Linked DNA regions of Oreochromis niloticus. The protein of the gene in region 1 purifies or fractionates together with the protein of each later gene. This does not show direct contact. Links are inferred from orthologs where the notes say so. Each region holds a gene or a part of one and is shown on either strand. Other genes may lie near its edges.

What was found. The genes of interacting proteins can lie anywhere in the genome.
Region 2: the proteins of arcn1b (region 1) and copz1 fractionate together in Homo sapiens (co-fractionation; 5 studies listed by BioGRID and IntAct, with this or other methods). This does not show direct contact. The link is inferred for Oreochromis niloticus from reciprocal best matches to the Homo sapiens genes ARCN1 and COPZ1.

What each region holds. Positions count from the first base shown.
Region 1 is NC_031979.2:1,083,041-1,086,794, reverse strand, and holds the start of arcn1b (archain 1b), read left to right. Parts: upstream 1-1,117; 5' UTR 1,118-1,519; coding exon 1,520-1,522; intron 1,523-3,470; coding exon 3,471-3,734; intron 3,735-3,754. UniProt on the Homo sapiens protein: Component of the coatomer, a cytosolic protein complex that binds to dilysine motifs and reversibly associates with Golgi non-clathrin-coated vesicles, which further mediate biosynthetic protein transport from the ER, via the Golgi up to the trans Golgi network.
Region 2 is NC_031984.2:19,116,612-19,120,365, forward strand, and holds the start of copz1 (coatomer subunit zeta-1), read right to left. Parts: upstream 2,772-3,754; 5' UTR 2,634-2,771; coding exon 2,616-2,633; intron 2,149-2,615; coding exon 2,080-2,148; intron 567-2,079; coding exon 485-566; intron 398-484; coding exon 306-397; intron 1-305. UniProt on the Homo sapiens protein: The coatomer is a cytosolic protein complex that binds to dilysine motifs and reversibly associates with Golgi non-clathrin-coated vesicles, which further mediate biosynthetic protein transport from the ER, via the Golgi up to the trans Golgi network.

The DNA of each region.
Region 1 (3,754 bases):
TCCCATATGAATGTTGGATTTATGTCCCTAAGAACTTTCTGAATATCTAAAAGTGTTGCTGCCACCAGCATCTTGCTTACACGTGCATTTAAATTAAATAAAAAATGCTGTCTGCTCAAACTGTCTGCTTAAAATGTTGCACCTCGTCTATAAGCTATCAAACCCATTATTTTCCATAAACTAAAATATTTCATACTGCACTCCTCCACCGATGCAAATAAAGAAGTCTGTATATTTTTAACTAAATGATCAAAATATTAACATACTAATTAATGTCAAATATAAGTGAATATTATTATGTTAATATTAGCCAAATAAAACATGCTAGTGCAAGGCAATTTTCTTCTTCTATATCTTTAACAATTTAATAATTATCTCCAGTAACTAATCTTCTGTCTGGCCATTAATCCCACAGCCCAAAGTTTAATTGGATAACTCTTTATTGTCCATGCACAGTCACACCTACTACGATAGTACAACAAAACAGGAAGTTGGAAATTGATTGTATGTGTGAACGTTGTCTGTCTGTGTGTGTGTTAGCCCTGTGACAGACATATCCAGGGTGCAGGGTACCCTAACCCATCATAGCTGGAATAAGTTCCAGCCAGTCGTGGAACTGGATAAGCAGAAGAATGGATTGTTGGAGTAAATGTTTACTTTTCTTTCTTTAATGATAATAATAGAAAAAAAAAACAGAATTCAACATGTTTGGAACTTAAACTTAAAAGAAAAAAATAAATTCCATAATATATCTGCAACATGTTAGTACATTTCTCACATGCTTGACAGCTTACTTATCGGTAGTTCGGTGCCCACCCCACCTCCACCCCCCGTCATGTGATAAATGCCCAATGAGAATATTTATGTTTACAATTAAGTTTTAAAATGTAACATAAAGAAATTAAGGACAACAAAGAGAAAAGCCTAATTGTATCATATGTTGCATTAGATGGGATGAATTTGGTGTTTTTGACGATGATGGTGGAGAGCACTGCCTGCACTATGAGGACTGTAGCATATAATTCTTTTTTTATACGACCCCCCCGTGTGCTCTGTGGGTGAAGGCGTTTTCATCCCGGAGACCAGTCCCCTCAGACGTGAAATGCTATCACTCAGAACTACTCTGACAATCTCTCTGGATAATATTTATGTGTTTGCCAGGTTATTGATACGCTGATAAACGTTAAAAGTAATCGCGTGAAGGTAATTTGTGGTCAGTACCGCACAGAAGTCTAAAGAAGAAAGAAACGCCGGTGGAAGTAATCTGAGTAACTTCTTTATGCAACAAGGCCAACATTTTGGGGCCCACGTCATTGGTTTCCACGGTGGGCTGATCCAGCGCGGCTCTTCCGGTGGAGACGTGGCTCTGTGCTGCTGCCATATTGACGCTAACTAGCTAACAATCACACAACTAGAAGTCAGCTGTATATTCGCACCTTGCCATTCCAGAGGGACGAGGAATCACCAAAGCAAGAAACGCGAGAGACTGACGACCGTCGTGCCGTAGAGAGAGACCACAATGGTGAGTGACAGTCGAAAGTGACCATTATTTCCCTGCCTTTTATCGGGCCTAGCAACTATCATAACATTGGCTAGTAGCTAAAGCTAGGTATGAGAAAACTAGCTTCTTCCCTTTCATGAACGAAAGAAGACAAATAATAAACGGTTCTTTTTTTATCGGAGCCACAGTGTTAGCGACATGTTCAGGTGCTAAAATCGAGTAAATGAGTCGTCAAAGTCGAATTTCACCGGAGTGAAGCGCTTTAGCTGTGCAGTCCGTGCTGACGTGAACTAGCTTTGGAGGCTAGCGCTAGTTGTCTCCTGTCAGTAGCCGGATCCGTGCAACCACTGCCTGCTGTCAGACTGTAATAAGCCAGGTTAAACCGAGCCCGGCTCTGCGACAAACCCCAACTATAGGTACAACTGTGTTATTATAGTTAGCTAGTGTCGACGACTTCGATAACCAAAGTTGCTGCTCGTCTTTATCGAGTTCACATCGGTGCGATCGGGTCTTCCATTTCTATTGTCAACGTGGAATCAGTGCAGTTCCTTCATTCATTTAGCACAGCCACATAAAGCGTCCGTTTATGTCAACCATTGTTATACTCATTATATTAAACGACCCCCGATTCTTTTATAAGATCATTTTCCATTGTGCTAACATCTGCACTAGCTGTCGTTGGCCTTACCAAGGACCAGCTCAAAGTATCTGTGAGCTTTAGCATAGTTTTGCTTCATTCCAAGCAAAACGTGTATTCTAACCAAAACCTAACTTTCTGGTTCCCACATTCAACATACATGGCGTATCTTCTCTCATACTGTCTTCTTGCACCAAGTCTGAAACTGGTAGGAGGCTTTGAAGGGTGTGAGTACATTTGGAGTGAATTGCTCGCTTTATAGGTAAAAGATGAAGATTGTTGAGATTTGTTCAAGGCTTTTAACTGTCCCAGCCCCTTAAAGTGAAACCTGAAGAAGCTGGACTTGTAAGATTCGCTCACCTAAGAGAAAGGCAAACAGCAGTTAGTTCATGTGCTTTTAGTAACGTCCTCAAACAACTACAGCCGTGTGTAATCAGGAGAGCACCAATATATCAAATGACAAGTACTCTTGTCTGGTTTTTCTGACTTCACTGTATCGGCTAAGTATCAGAATCAGCTGATATTGACCTAACTGAGTGTAGGCCACATCAGGTTAGCATTGGATAATGGCTGACTTAGACTTCTACAGTGGATCTTTGAAGAGCCAACGATGTAACCTATGTAAGTGGCCACTGTTATCAGCATTTGTGTGCTGGTGCATTATGTGTTAATTACATTGTGCTCGTTTCTTGGGTTTTATATGTGGTGTCAGCTATGACGAAAACAAATAAGACTTTTTGCTCCTGAGTCTCCACTCCTCAATGTGGTTTTCCACTTCTTTGTACATTTCCTCGTGTTCACTCTGATAGTTTCATCAATCTTCCTCCTGTAATTTGGTGAAATGTGTGTTCTTATTTACTATGATTATTATTCCTTATATGTAGATGATGATTGATATTCTCTAAATCAAAGACTACAGCAAAAAGTAGCACAAATTCACAGGAAGGATCAGTGGTATTGAACAATCACAGTTGTTTCTGGTTGTGTCAACGTAACGTGTTGTTGCATTTTTAGACAGGAGCACGTCAGGTTAAGATGTAGGGTTTCCAAGTAGTTTGCAGTCACAGTGTACCTATGTTGTAGATTTCCTGCTGATGAATGAATCCTCAGCAAGTGTGATGAAGATCTGTTTTTTGGTTGTTTTGTTTTTTTCTTGTTTCTTTGGAATAGAAAAGAAAATTTTACATTAAAAAAAAAATATTGAATTTTGACATTCGCTGACCTTCCTGTTGTTGTTATGAGCATAGATGTTGGTCCGATTAGTGCATCTTTAGTTGTAATAGTTCAGGTCTGTGGGAAACTAAAGCAGTCAAATTCCTCTTTACCCCTCAGGTGCTGTTGGCAGCGGCGGTGTGCACCAAGGCCGGCAAGGCCATCGTATCGCGGCAGTTTGTGGAAATGACCCGGACACGAATTGAGGGTCTCCTAGCTGCATTTCCTAAACTGATGAACACGGGCAAGCAGCACACCTTTGTGGAAACAGACAGCGTTCGCTATGTGTACCAGCCACTGGAGAAGCTCTACATGGTCCTTATCACCACCAAGAACAGCAACATCCTGGAGGACCTGGAGACACTCAGACTCTTTTCCCGTGTGGTAAGCACACACAGGCAGGT
Region 2 (3,754 bases), on another chromosome or scaffold:
TTTCCAGTTGTCTGCCACGTGTGAGAACGGGCAGCTTTTTCACAGGCCTCACCTGGCATTTTCTGGACTTTACTTGTGAAAACTTCTTATGTGGTTTAGTGCAATTATAATGTTCCAAGTGCAAAACAATACTAGTCAAAACTTGCTCATGTACTGTGATTCACACCATTTCTCAGGCTCTCACAGACTGGATGATGAGGCAGGATCCATATTCGGCATGTGCTGTCACTTTCCTCAGCACAACATAAGCAAGTTTCAACTCCTACTTAAAAAGGGTTCATTACAAAAACTAAAATTAAACTTACCTCATTTTCATGTGAACTTCCAATCACGTAAAAGAAGAGGTCTATATTGCTCTTGTAGACAACAGTGAGGCCTTCAAGTAGTGCTATTTCACCTAAAGAGGCACAAAAAACAACCATGCTCGATATTAGGTATGTATTGAGGCAAAGTAACTGTTTTTAACAGTGTAAAGATTGCTTACTGTCTGTTCTGTGTGTTTTGTTGAATATGTTCTTCTCAAATGCCTTCTGCTCCTTCACTGTTGGGTATGTGTCATCATAATACTGCAGAAATTAGAAATTAAGTCATATTTAGATATTAGTCTAAAGGTTACATAATTTTCACTAGTTTTCATTTGTATTATTAGATGATGGTAGAGGATGTCATTTTCTTGCAAACAATCAACCCAAAATGAGAAAACGAGACAATAGTGAGTCATACACATTTTAAAGGTTTACACTTTTCTAAAGTAACTGGGAGCTGTTTGAGCACATAATTTTTAATCAGGAAAAAATACAGCATTTGTTATGGGTTGAATTTTGTGTTTAATGTAGCTATGTGAGCATTTACAGAATCAGGCAGAGTGTTTTTGTTTTTTTGGTGGGGGGTTTTTGGGTGGCAAAAAGAGGTTTATTAACTGAAAATTAACTTCAGAGCAAGAGTGTTTCTATGATTTTTCTTCAAGTTCCTGTGGGCCCCTCTGCACAAACTCAGAATATTTAATCAGAATTAAAATTAGTGCAGAAAATTGGCAAAAAACCCCCCAAAACATTGGGTGACTTTCAGGCTAATGTGCAACCCTGTGTCCTGTAACATAATTATTATGGATAAAGTAGTGCTGTGCAAAACTTTAATTATACCTTTGTGTTGGATAATCCTTTCGCAACGTGAAAAAAAGTATTTAGACTTTTTATAAAGTAAAACTTATAATAATAATTAAGTAGCTTATACTGCATGAACTGTATAATAAAAATATATTCATAAAACATAAAGTAAGCATATTCATTATGTTGAATAGCACTTTTCAAAATCATTAACAGTACTATATCTGTACCACTGGATCATAATTATGGATCCATTGACATTCATATGTATCTCTTTAATGTTCAAGCTATTGATTTTAATTACCTATATATTGCAGTACCACTTGATCTATAATAATGCAATTAACCTGCAAAACAATTACAAACTAAAGCTTAAAAAATAAAGGGTAGAAATTCTAATAATTGCATCCAAAATTTATTAGCGTAAGAGCAGTAGCATGATAGAGCAATGCTTAAATTAAGTACAAATACTTTAAACCCTAAACTAAAGTACTCAAGTAAATGTTACATTACTACTGCTTCTATACATGCTTCCACGGTATTGGGCACTGCAAGATTAACAGTACTGTAGTCCAATATCATTGGTGGGGGAGCAATCATATTTCAGGCAGGGGGTGACCACCTCCAGACATGCTCTGGCTCCAGAGACCTGTTGTGTCAAACAGTGACTTCCGGTGTTTTTTTAATGTTTAATATCATTGCTTACTTTGGTAAACAGCCTGTAGTGAAAATAGTACATTTTGACCACAGGTAAATTACCTTGTGACGACAATTTTCTTTCAGGCTTAAAATGACTTGATACCATTCACAAGAGTTTGACAGATTATAGGCCAATAATTAATTTACAAGCGTTTAAATATCAGCAATGATTTTTGTCCAGTATTCACAGTTTCGCAGAAGATCACTTTTTGGCATGTCACCGGCGTTAATAATAACGAAGTAACATGATGTCACAGATGTCTGAAATTCATACCTTGGCGTAAAGCCGGTCTCCATCGTTGTCCAGAATGAGAACAGCTTTCACCGTGTATAAGGAAGGTTCCTGTGAAGACAGCACACGTTAGGCATTGTTTTATCCTACACAGGAACGAATTCACCTTAATAATTCTTTAAATATGTGGCAACTCGTATGTTAAATAATAAACATGAACTATCAAAAAGGCGACGGTGGACGTGCAAGTAAGTTGAATAAATTGGGTGTCGACTGGCGTCACAAAATCAGTCTAAATGTTATTTAAAAGACTTCTTAATCACCAAATCGTGAAGGAGACATGACAGTTCCACATCATCAACAAACGCATACGAGCTAACTTTAGATGCTAGCTCCTTAGCTAACACGGCCAACCCGTTCACTGTAGTTAGCATTGAGTTTATTCGACTGCTCTCTAAATGACTCTACAACACAAAACTGCGAGAAACATTTTGCTAGTAAATACTTATGTGAAGTACTAACGAGGTAACGCTCGTGGCTTTTACATCGTCAGAAATAAATAAATGGGCTAACATTACCAGTATGGGAGAATCCATCTTCTTTCCTGTTAGCAAACCAGCTACCGGGCTAGCAGCATTAGGCTACGTATTACGTACAGTAAATGAGTCTCTTTCCTATTGGCTGACGCAGTGCCGTATGTTGTGCGTGCAGGGCAAAGATCAGTTCACTGCAGAGCAAGCAGCCACAAAAGAGCTGAAACTCAAAAGCGATGTGGTTAATAAAGAAGTACTTTCAGACTCGCCTGTAGTTATAACACATTTGCCTTTTAAGTCGGGAAAGTCTGAACCTTTTAATGGCCCAAACGTAAAGCTAAACAAGTTATTAACTAACTTTATTACTGTAATTTCGGACTGTATCTTGTTACTGTGTAAAATATGAAGATTACTAACCCCATTAGACTTACAATAAAACCTAAATTCATTCGTGGTTGAAACCGTAAATCCAAACATGTAAATGCCTTTAGTAGCTCGTATGAACTTCTTAAAAAAAACACGTGTAAGTCAGGATGTTTATTTTAGAGTTCACATCCCTGCAGAGCTTACTGTAATTAAACCTAATGACTAAAGGTGGTTGCTGTTTTTGTAGGACTTAGTGGTAACCAGAAATCTCTCGTTTTACAAGCCATTTTAGCTTGCTCGTACTCATCAACATCTTTTTTCAGTATCCTCCTACATTTAACCAACTCCAATTATCTTAGTTCCCACTTCTGGGAAGCATTTGGAAACACAGGCAGATGGGGATTTCCCTCTATCTAACTCCATAAATTACATCATTGTTTGGCCTTACTGTAGGATATTTTTGGGCTTCAAATATCACTGGAAAGCAAATAATGTCCAGCCATTATTTAACTGCAGAACGTGTATTGTGAGGAGATACCAACTATTCTTATGCGTGTTCACAAGAGGACTGTGGGAAACTATGAAATGTTGCAACACTGCAGTATGCTTGCACAAATTTAGCCACTACGATTTCAAAATTGCCTTGACCAGAGAGGAAACTGTATACTGCCTTGAACTAGCTCATACTAAAAGGTTAAAATATCGCCTGATATTGTCATGCCATCTCATCACAAAGTTAAACTTATTTTTATTCTTTTTTGTGTTTAAAAAGCATCACAGTGGTGACGATGACTGGCAAAGCTGACTGATTTCTGAAA